Linked DNA regions of Daphnia pulex. Each later gene encodes a partner of the first gene's protein in a complex. Links are inferred from orthologs where the notes say so. Each region holds a gene or a part of one and is shown on either strand. Other genes may lie near its edges.

Region 1 (5,228 bases):
AAGGGTACAATATTTCCCTTGTTTTGGATTTGGATAACATACCTGGCAATTGGGAAGAAATAGTAAAAAAAATTGGACTGCTGAAAAGAAATTGCTTTGCATCTGTTTTTGAGAAGTATTTTGAATTTCAGGAAAAGGGTAAAAAAATAATGAGCAAAAGCAATACTCTGAAATTCTATAATTTTTCTTTTCTAATAAGGTGAAGAAGGGCACAAGAGAGCAGTTATCAATTATCGTGATGAAGAGACATTGTACATAGAAGCTAAGGCAGACAGAGTAACAGTAGTGTTCAGCACTGTATTCCGTGATGAGGATGATATTGTGTTAGGTAAAGTTTTCTTACAAGAACTTCGCGAAGGTCGCCGAGCTTCTCACACTGCCCCACAAGTTCTTTTTTCTCACCGAGAACCTCCTCTGGAACTTCAAAGTACAAATGCTAAAATTGGTGACAATATTGGATACATTACATTTGGTATGAAATCATTTCTATTTTTACACATGGATTTCTGTAAAATTTATGTCATAATTCTTTTTAGTCTTGTTTCCACGGCATACGAACAAAAACGTCCGCGAAAATACCATTAATTTGATTCATCTCTTCCGTGACTATTTGCACTACCACATCAAATGTAGCAAAGCCTACATTCATTCACGCATGAGAGCCAAAACTTCTGATTTTTTGAAAGTATTAAACCGAGCTCGACCTGAACCAAAAACGGTGGAAAAGAAAACGATCACCGGCCGTACTTTCATTCGTACTCCATGATGTTTAAATGCACATTTTCCCTGTTTACCTAATTAGGATTTCTTCATTGATTAAATTGTAACGCTTAGTTTCACATTTTTCAATAATACACTAGCTTCTCATTAATGACAGACCACATTTATTTCTTGTAACTGCTTACAAAAACGGTTCAATATTCAACTCCAAAGCTGAACATGGAAGATTTAAATCAAAGGATGTCACAACATCAGGATGTAAGACTCCGACGATTCCGACAACAGTGCCAGCAAAAATGATTTGGGCGCATCGTCCGGGGAAAAAAGTTGCATCTGTAAATTTTATAGCTTTAGAAGAAGGTAATCAAAATATTGATGCAGTATATGAAATGAACCTTCGCATGGTTTCAGGAAGTATCCCTTGCTGCCACTCTGATCCAGTGGAACTTCCAACAATTGCATTAAGCGATCTAGTAAACCATGAACTAATTCAAATCCAGGCGACTTATTGTAATAAACGGCGCACAGATTGCGGCAATTACGAGCTCCAACATCTCGCTGACTGTCTTTCACTACCACATCGGATACTTCAAATAGCTTGAAGAACAGAAACCATATGTTTTACAACTTTTATAACTTATCTTATTAAATAAATAGGTTTTACCTTCATGGGCAAAGGCATTTTCCTATTGGCAGCGATAGTTTTGAGCAAACCTGAAAGTAAGGTCGTGCGTGCTACTTGGAACTCCAAAGTTTTCGGATTGGAAACATGAACTGCAGGAACGGAGTTCAGAGGTTTCCTCAGCTTTTCGCTTATGTCTTCCTTCGAGCACAACGAAAATGTGAGAGCCTCTGTGAAACCGGCTTGAGCAAGCTGGTCTCTCAACTGATCTGACAGCTTATTTAGGGGAAACTGTGAAGCTATGGTGTTAGTTTTCGGTAGAGTTTTGGTTATGTTATTGTATCCAAAAGCAATCGCCACATCTTCATAGACATCACACGCATGAATGATATCATGACGAGTGGGGGGTATTTCAACCTGCCAGGGAATATTTTTACATGAATTTTCAAAATCCTATAATTTAACCATTACATTTTTTTTACCGAAATGGAACCAGTTCCTTCCACGGTGGCAGTTAAACACATTCGGGTGAGTAAATTTGCGATTTCGTCAGCTTTTTCGTTGATACCCACCATTGTATTGATCTTGTCAACACTGATTTTCTCATGTCGATTTTTTAAAATCGGATAGTTGTTGATTTTTCCTTCTGGAGTCTCTACTTCGCATATCTCCACAGTAAACTGATCCCCGCAGTACCTAGAAAACATACAGACCAAAGTGTCCAAAACGATGCTAGCCTAAAAGAAGACATTTAAACAATTAAAGAAGCAATTTAAAAAATTGCATTTTCATAAAGGCAATTTACCTTGGTTAGGTCTGTAGCAGTGCATTCAATGAAAACATTTTTCGTATCTAAGGTAATTTTTGAATGTTCACCATTGATAATAGGTGGCATAGAAAGAACTACTCCATTACTGTCCTTGATAACAGGATAGACTGAACTATCGCGTATAATTGGTAAATAGTGGCGAAGATGGCTATCAGTCTGAATTAGTAAAAAATGATTATCTTTAATTTTTAAAAGCATAAAATGACACAATTGATAGATAGATTACTGAATACAAGTCCATTAACTGAGAAGCAGTAAACTCTTTACTCTGGCTCAATGGCTTGAACTTAATTGAATCAGGTGGAAGTGCTTCATAGAAAAATGGACCATGGACTGTATCCAAATCATGAGTTCCAATTGCAACAAGACTACGTTTCCTGCACAAGTTTTGATGTAGTTTATCCTGAAGATCTATGAAGCTACTGAAAGTGTTTTGGTCAAAGTGGATGTTTCTAAGAACTGCTGCAACAGCATGTGGTCTTATTGATGCAGTCTGTAATAAAAAATAGTATTGAATTGAAATAATAATTATGACAAATTTCTTATGACGACTCACCGAAGGCTTGATAATTAATCTTTGAGGAACTGTCACTGGTGGAACAACTTTAAAAGCTGGAAATTGCTTTCTAATTGAAATAATAAAAAGTGGTATTTGTTGATTTAATGATAAGTTTGTTTTGTTTATGAATTTATCTTACTCTCCCAAAAATACTTGAAGACCTTGCACAAGACCTTCTAAACACAATAAGTCATATCTATTGGCAGGAATATCAATCTTGTAAATGATTTCTTCTGATGCACCAGCTGATCGTTCTGTTCCTTGTTCTTTCAAAATGATGAGTTTATCACTCGTCTGAAATAATAAAAATAGATACGAGTAACTTGCATAGGGAGAACACATTAAGTTTCATATCAAATACAATTCATATTGTTTTGTTTGTTGGTTTTTTAGGGGGGAGGGGTACTTACAACTTCATCAAGTTCGATGCCAAATTTGAAACAAAGTTCATCAAACTGTTCTTCCGCTAAATATAGAAATAACATTATATTAACTAAGTTAAATTGAAGTTTAACTGAAAGAACTTATAGCAAATACGTGATCTCAACTCACTGTAAGATCTTCCAAGGGCTTTGAACAGTAAATCTCTATTGATACTTATGGTAGGCATGGTGTTGTTCTGGAAAAGTTGCAGAAGATGATAAAGAAATTAACAGCAGGACTGCAATATCAGTGATCAAACTTGCCAATTGCCACCCAGTTGCCACCTGGTTTTTTGGACAAGCTGGAGGATGGAATCGAAAAACTTTGCAACTCTGGTTTCAATGAGCTGGCGACTGCCGAGTGCAGACTAGATTGCCGGATTGCCCGTCAGTGTTAAAACCCCCATCTGGTGACGGCTTTTGGTAGCCTTTTTGAATCCAAATGAAATGCTATGTACAGTATGGAGTAGTTGGACATCCTGCGTTGTGCATTTTCCGCAAATGCGAAAATCTCATTTGTGTCCAACTCGGTCTGTGTCGCCTACAGCGTCTTATGGGAAAACCAACTTCTCCTCGGTAAAAAAATTGTTTTCTTATCTATGACTCTGATTTTCCCCCTTTTCTTCCTAACAGTTAATACTTTATTCATTTCTCTATTACCTAATTTTTATTTCTATCCCCAATTCAATCTGGTTAATTTTTAATTAATTTTTGTTTGTGACTGGTTTTTTTGTTCGTCTCCTGTAGCAGACGTTTCTAGACGTTTCTAGACAGAATCGACCACGCTACGAACGAAATTCTTCTGCTACAGGAGACAACAAAAAAACCAGTCACAAACAAAAATTAATTAAAAATTAACCAGATGGAATTGGGGATAGAAATAAAAATTAGGTAATAGAGAAATGAATAAAGTATTCACTGTTAGGAAGAAAAGGGGGGAAATCAAAGTTATAGGTAAGAAAACAACTGTTTTAACGGGAAGAAGTTGGTTTTCCCATAAGACGCTGTAGGCGACACAGACCGAGTTGGACACAAATGAGATTTTCGAATTTGCGGAGAATGCGCAACGCAGGATGTCCAACTACTCCATCCTGCAAAAAAATCCGAACAGCGATTTTTTTCCAAACAGCCACCTATCAATATTGCGGGGAACTGTTTTTGGCTTTTAACCCAAATTTGGGTGGAAAGAAAGAAAACGAAAGATTTTAGTCTGTAGTTTTACTCTAGTTTAAAATGGTAAAATTTTGTTGCAACAGGGAAATAGGGAATTGAACAGGGAATTTTTTTATGTATTTATTTATTTGTTTGAATTCCCATTTATTGGTTAAAAATGAATTAAACGCGTTGTTTACGTTTTTTGAGGAAAGAATGGGGAGAAGAGGGAGAATGGGACGAATGGGAGGGAGGAGGGCGTACGAAAAAAAAGGGGACCCATGTTTCTTCTTCTCAAAATAAATATAAAATTTGGGTGAATAGTGTAGGCAAATGTTTTTATGTGAGCAGATTTTACTTAATCCGTCAAACTTGGGTTCAATTGCACAATTAGTGGGGAAAAAATTTGCGCATTTTTCCCGTGTTTTTTTATTCCTTGAATATCTCAGGAAATAATCATAAGATTTTTATGAAACTTATAACAGTTAATGCTTACACTACAAAAAATAAAGTGTAGAAAAATTTGATTTTAAAATGATTTTTACTATTTTTACCGACCCTGTCTAACGTGGTACAGTGTCCGAAATATGGGTCCGGTCCTTGGCTGAAAGTTTGTTTTCCCAATACAAAGTTGGTTTTTTGAATCAGTGTGTAATTTTTTTTCCATTTTTTTTCTGTCAGTTAATTGCTACGTATCTTGGTTAGTATGTGTAGCAATTTGTGTCTCCAGATCACATTCCATGTATTTAAAAAAATGTGTTCCCCTGTTGTTTAATTTTTTCGTTAACGAATCAACAGAGAATTGGCCCGAGGAAAGAAGGGGGGAAAGGGAAAGTATGGGCCACTCTTTTTTTCATATTACTTTCCTCTTCTCCCCTCTATTCCCTCGGGCCAATTCTCTTGATGGAACGCTGCATGATGATA
Region 2 (4,744 bases), on another chromosome or scaffold:
ACTTGCCAAAGATGAATGCTGATGAACGGTCACTATGGTACGGGCATCTCCTCGAGCTACCAGGAGTCTCACCAAGGTTTGAATTGATCGTGGTGGATATTTCGGATCAGCCTCTATGACAAGAGTTAATTTTTCTTCAGTAGTTTTGCCTTGTCTTTTTAACTTCTTCACTTCAGTTTCAATGCCACGTAGTCGAGTCATGATCGAATCCATGCGATTCTCCAAGTCCTGCAAATCGTCTGTTTCCTTCATTTCAGAACCACGGTGTCTGGAAGGGAAAAACAAGTTTTGCTTGTAAGGATACCTTATAAAAATCAATAACTTTTAACTTGAATCAACAAAACCAAATAGTTTAAAATGAAAGCTGTGTTTCACTTGAGAAAACTTATTATGAAATGTTAAGGTATTTAAAAACAAATAAAATAAACAAACATATGACATGGTGGATGTAAGTTACTTGTCCAGTCGGCAGAGAGGGTTGTCTGCTACCATCTGTATGTTCACTTTAGGGCCCACCAAATCCCGAATGTTATCGTAGCCATATTTAATCATCGTCGGCCTAAATAATATATGAGTACATTTTAGTTAGATTCAATACACAAAGTTATATTAGCAGTATTTTAGTACCTCTCTAAACTAAGACCCCATGCCAGAACTGAAACGTCTTCAGGAAGTCCCATTGGTAACAACATTTCCGGTCGGAATATTCCAGAATTTCCGATCTAAATATGTTTGTGAAATTTTTTAAAACAATGGTAACAAGTACACGGAAAAGTTCACTACCTCAACCCATTTTTTAAGGCCAGGATGATAACTAAAAATTTCCATGCTGGGCTCAGTGTACGGATTGTAGGCAGGTTTAAACCGCAGCTTTTCAATACCCAGTTTGCGAAAGAATTCATACAAGACTCCTTAAATTTGAAAAAGATGAAATGAGTTGCAAAAGTGCCGATACAAAAAAAAAACTCGCACCTATTAGATTCCCCAGTGTCAGGCCATAATCTGCAATGACTCCCTCGATTTGATGAAATTCAGCTAAATGTGTAGCATCAAGCGTTTCATTTCGGAAAACACGGTCAATGCTGAAGTATTTCGCCGGTTTGAAACCACCCTGCACAATGGGGACAAAAGTTAATTAAGATTTCAAATTTTGATGTTTTGAAGGATGCTGACTTTTCACTCATACTATACCTCAGCAAGGGCGTAAAGCATCCTCGCACTAACGGCAGTGGTATGGGTTCGAAGAAGATTTTTTTGCGCTTCTTCTATTTTCCAATCATATCCATAACCCTGACTACCATAACCTCCATGGCTGTGTACTTTTTTCACACGCTCCATGTAATCGACAGGGATATTTGTTGCTGTTGACGGGTCTAAAAGATTTAAAATTTCCAATTACAGAAACTTAACAAAGTAACTAGGTAAATTAAGTAAAGTACCAGAAAGGAAGAAGGTGTCGTGAGCATCTCGTGCAGGATGTTGCTGAGGTTGGAAAAGGGCATCAAAATTCCAGAAGGAACTTTCAACAAAATTATTTGTGGGCATTTCAGTAAATCTGATTTGACCAAATTCAGATTAATAATTGAATTTGATTTCTAAATATTTTTAACTAGGAACATACCCCATCTCCAAAAATATTTGTCGAAATTCTGCTCGTACTTTCATTAAGGGATGCAAATGTCCTCGCGGAATTGGAGTCCCAAGAGCATTCAAATTGTATGCTTTGAACTCCTTTGTTTTCCATGAACCGGAAGCGATCATTTCAGGCGTAAGATCAGTCTCTTGTTTAGTGACACTTGTACTGAATGATGGGCCAGGTTTCATCAGATAACTCTTGATAATTCTGTAACAACAAAGATTGGTAATAAACAGGATTTTGGGGAGACAAAATTTTATAATACTAACATTTCTTGGATAAGTTTTCTTTTTTTGTACTCAGTTCTCAATTCATTGGTGAGTGTGTCTTTTCCAGTGGCAAGTTCTTTAAGATGTTCCTGAACCTTATCTTGAATAGAAGTTACTTTTTTAATGAATTTGGGAGCTCCAGAACTCTTGTCAACGACAATCCAACCAAGTGACATGGCTTTACTGAAACCAACTTTGGCCATATCTTTTGTGAATTTAGAATTCACTTCAGTAACTTTAGCCTAGTGAATTACAAAAATGGCAAAATGTTTCTGACATTTAATGATTAAATTCAAAATACCACAATTTCTGCTTGTGTACTTCCAGCAGGTGGGATAGCATTGAAAACTTGAGCTTCGTGACTACCATCTTTAGCCACCTGTTTTCCTTCTTCAGTGAGATCCCATAGCGCAGAGCTCTGAAGATCAGCTTCAATTACCTGGGAACCAAATTAAATAAAAAATTGTTGTTTGTTTTCCCATTTTTTAGGTAAGCTACATGTACTGCATTTTAATCTATTGTAGTGGTAAAATATAATACACAAGCTTAGTTAAATATAATGTAACATAAAATGTACACTCACTTCTCCAAGACAAAGAAGGCTTTTCACGGTACCAACGATCTTTTGGTGATCTTCATTCCAAAGCTCAGCTAGTTTAAGTGAACTGGCAGTCCCATTTTCTTCCAAATACTTCAAAACCTTCTCACCGTGAGCAGTCGCCATATTTCACTTCAGGGAAAAGTATAAGACTTAAGTCTTTAGTTTTGAGTCTTCTAATAAGACTTTAGTCACGGTGCGTAAACCAAACGACGGACTATTCCAAACCTAACTAGCCAGAAATATCTGACGTAATTATTTTAGAGGACTAAAAGAGCCGTAAGAGCGTGACGTTACAACAGGAAGAAAATTCGTCTGCTTCCTGCATTGACAACGTGTGTTGTTTGTGAATAATGCGAAGTTCGGAAAGTGGCAGGAGCGCAAGTTTAAAATTAAAAAAATAACAAGTTTTTACGAAAATAGTTTTATCCATTTCAAATTTAGAAGTAAATAAAGTAAAATGAAATAAAATAATAGAAGAAATAAATAATAGGAAATATGAAATTAAAGGAGTACGGTACCAAAGATGAAAGAAGACCTAGTGACCTACATGTATAATAAGATGGAGATGCAGATGCTACCTATATTTTTCGTATAATTTGATCATTTATCCTCAGTTAGTAGGCTATATCAGATTATTGAATAAAGGGTTGGAACTGCCAGCAATTTACTGAGCCTTCACCCTTACGATAAAATGGAACATACCAACAAATTCTAGTGGTACCGCACTAAAATGAGACTACACGGCTACACCATGCAGACATAAGTAAGTACACGCCAAAGAAACATAATAGTAACTCGATAACAGCTTTATTGTAAACATTCCAATTCCCAACATTTCTATAATTATCGAACGATATATGATTGGTAAAAAAATTATGCTGAGTACTTTAAACTTATAATCTGCTGGTCACAGATGAAGACTCGTAAGCTCTTTTTTGTTGTCACGCCAACTTGATTTTAAGATTTTCGGCTAACTTATCCATGAATTCGAAGGTATTCAAATAGTCGCCTCGAGTTACGCTAGAATATAGAAATACAAAATCAATAAACCATTCCATTCTATCGCACAAAAAATTAACGAAAATTACCCATTCATTCCCTTGATGCAAATGGCCAAATCTTTGGTCATGAAACCAGCTTCGATAGTCTCAACGCATACGCTTTCTAATGCGCTACAGAATCGTTTCAAAGGCTCGTTGTTGTCCAACTTTGCACGATGCTCCAGTCCACGCGTCCAGGCGAAAATGGAAGCTGATTTAATATAATAACCATTATTGGTATAAGAAAATTGAAAAACGTATTTGCCTGCGATGCGGGCGAGAACACAGTAACTAACCAATAGGATTTGTGGATGTCTCTTTTCCTTGCTGATGCATTCTGTAGTGGCGGGTCACTGTTCCATGAGCAGCTTCAGCTTCAACAGTTTTCCCATCTGGGCAAATGAGGACGGAAGTCATCATCCCCAAAGATCCATACCCTTGAGCAACTGAGTCTGACTGGACATCACCATCGTAGTTCTTGCATGCCCAAACAAACCCACCTTCCGATTTCATAGCATATGCAACCATATCATCAATCAAACGATGCTCATACCAAATCTTCTTGGCTTCGTACAACGGCTTGTACTCTCTGCGCACACGAAGTTAGTCAATTTTTATGTAATCGTACGTATAAAATATGTAGACTTACGCATCGTAGATTTCTTGGAAAATATCTTTGAAGCGACCATCGTACTTTTTCAAGATAGTATTTTTGGTGCTGAGATAGAGAGGATATTCTCGCTGCAGAGCGTATTGCAACGAAGAATGAGCAAAATCCCTTTCATCAAAATGAAATAAATTAGTCCTGGCCTTTGAATTCGAATTTGCACCAAACAATTACCTAATGGAATCGTCAGTATTGTACATTCCAATAGCAACTCCAGCACCCTTGAAGTCATTGACGATATGCACAATGCTTGTGGATCCATCAGCAGCAGTCCATTTCATTTCCAATTGGCCTGCTCCAGGGATTAAAAAATCAGTTGCTCTATACTGTTAAATCAAATTGAACCATCAGTATCAACTTTCGTAATGTCACATGACAAATTATAAGCTACTTGGTCGGCGTGAGCGTGGCGACCAATGATGATCGGAGCAGTCCATCCAGTTACCAACCGAGGAATGTTTTTGCAAATAATGGGTTCTCGAAAAACAGTTCCACCAAGAATGTTTCTTAGTGTACCATTCGGAGACTTCC

Evidence for each region. The genes of interacting proteins can lie anywhere in the genome.
Region 2: the proteins of phenylalanine--tRNA ligase beta subunit-like (region 1) and phenylalanine--tRNA ligase alpha subunit A-like are in contact, whole or in part, in a crystal structure (PDB 3L4G), measured with the Homo sapiens proteins. The link is inferred for Daphnia pulex from reciprocal best matches to the Homo sapiens genes FARSB and FARSA. Residues at the interface, in NP_005678.3 of Homo sapiens: Glu26, Phe29, Gly32, Leu33, Pro68, Ala69, Asn70, Ile150, Arg152, Asp259, Thr261, Lys262, Arg305, Lys316, Lys317, Val318, Gly319, Ile359, His360, Cys362, Asp363, Glu366, Ala369, Ile370, Tyr374, Asn375, Ile377, Gln378, Met379, Thr380; in NP_004452.1 of Homo sapiens: Ser221, Gly222, His223, Leu224, His225, Leu227, Leu228, Arg231, Ser232, Arg235, Leu239, Gly242, Phe243, Thr244, Glu245, Pro247, Asp249, Asn250, Phe251, Ile252, Glu253, Ser254, Phe263, Gln266, Gln267, Phe277, Phe278, Leu279, Arg280, Asp281.

The regions. Positions count from the first base shown.
Region 1 is NC_060024.1:1,044,381-1,049,608, reverse strand, and holds phenylalanine--tRNA ligase beta subunit-like, read right to left. Parts: upstream 3,526-5,228; 5' UTR 3,341-3,525; coding exon 3,283-3,340; intron 3,197-3,282; coding exon 3,141-3,196; intron 3,025-3,140; coding exon 2,870-3,024; intron 2,798-2,869; coding exon 2,728-2,797; intron 2,665-2,727; coding exon 2,398-2,664; intron 2,328-2,397; coding exon 2,148-2,327; intron 2,080-2,147; coding exon 1,825-2,079; intron 1,760-1,824; coding exon 1,385-1,759; intron 1,318-1,384; coding exon 1,116-1,317; intron 1,054-1,115; coding exon 902-1,053; 3' UTR 868-901; downstream 1-867. Other genes in the region: probable actin-related protein 2/3 complex subunit 2, read left to right, coding at 4-138, 200-472, 537-766.
Region 2 is NC_060018.1:5,962,860-5,967,603, forward strand, and holds the start of phenylalanine--tRNA ligase alpha subunit A-like, read right to left. Parts: upstream 2,816-4,744; 5' UTR 2,630-2,815; coding exon 2,489-2,629; intron 2,345-2,488; coding exon 2,207-2,344; intron 2,148-2,206; coding exon 1,906-2,147; intron 1,844-1,905; coding exon 1,622-1,843; intron 1,556-1,621; coding exon 1,440-1,555; intron 1,374-1,439; coding exon 1,192-1,373; intron 1,112-1,191; coding exon 973-1,111; intron 912-972; coding exon 784-911; intron 723-783; coding exon 628-722; intron 560-627; coding exon 458-559; coding exon of another isoform or gene 454-457; exon of another isoform or gene 433-453; intron 269-432; coding exon 1-268. Other genes in the region: isocitrate dehydrogenase [NADP] cytoplasmic-like, read right to left, coding at 3,448-3,526, 3,595-3,757, 3,843-4,135, 4,196-4,324, 4,388-4,539, 4,605-4,744.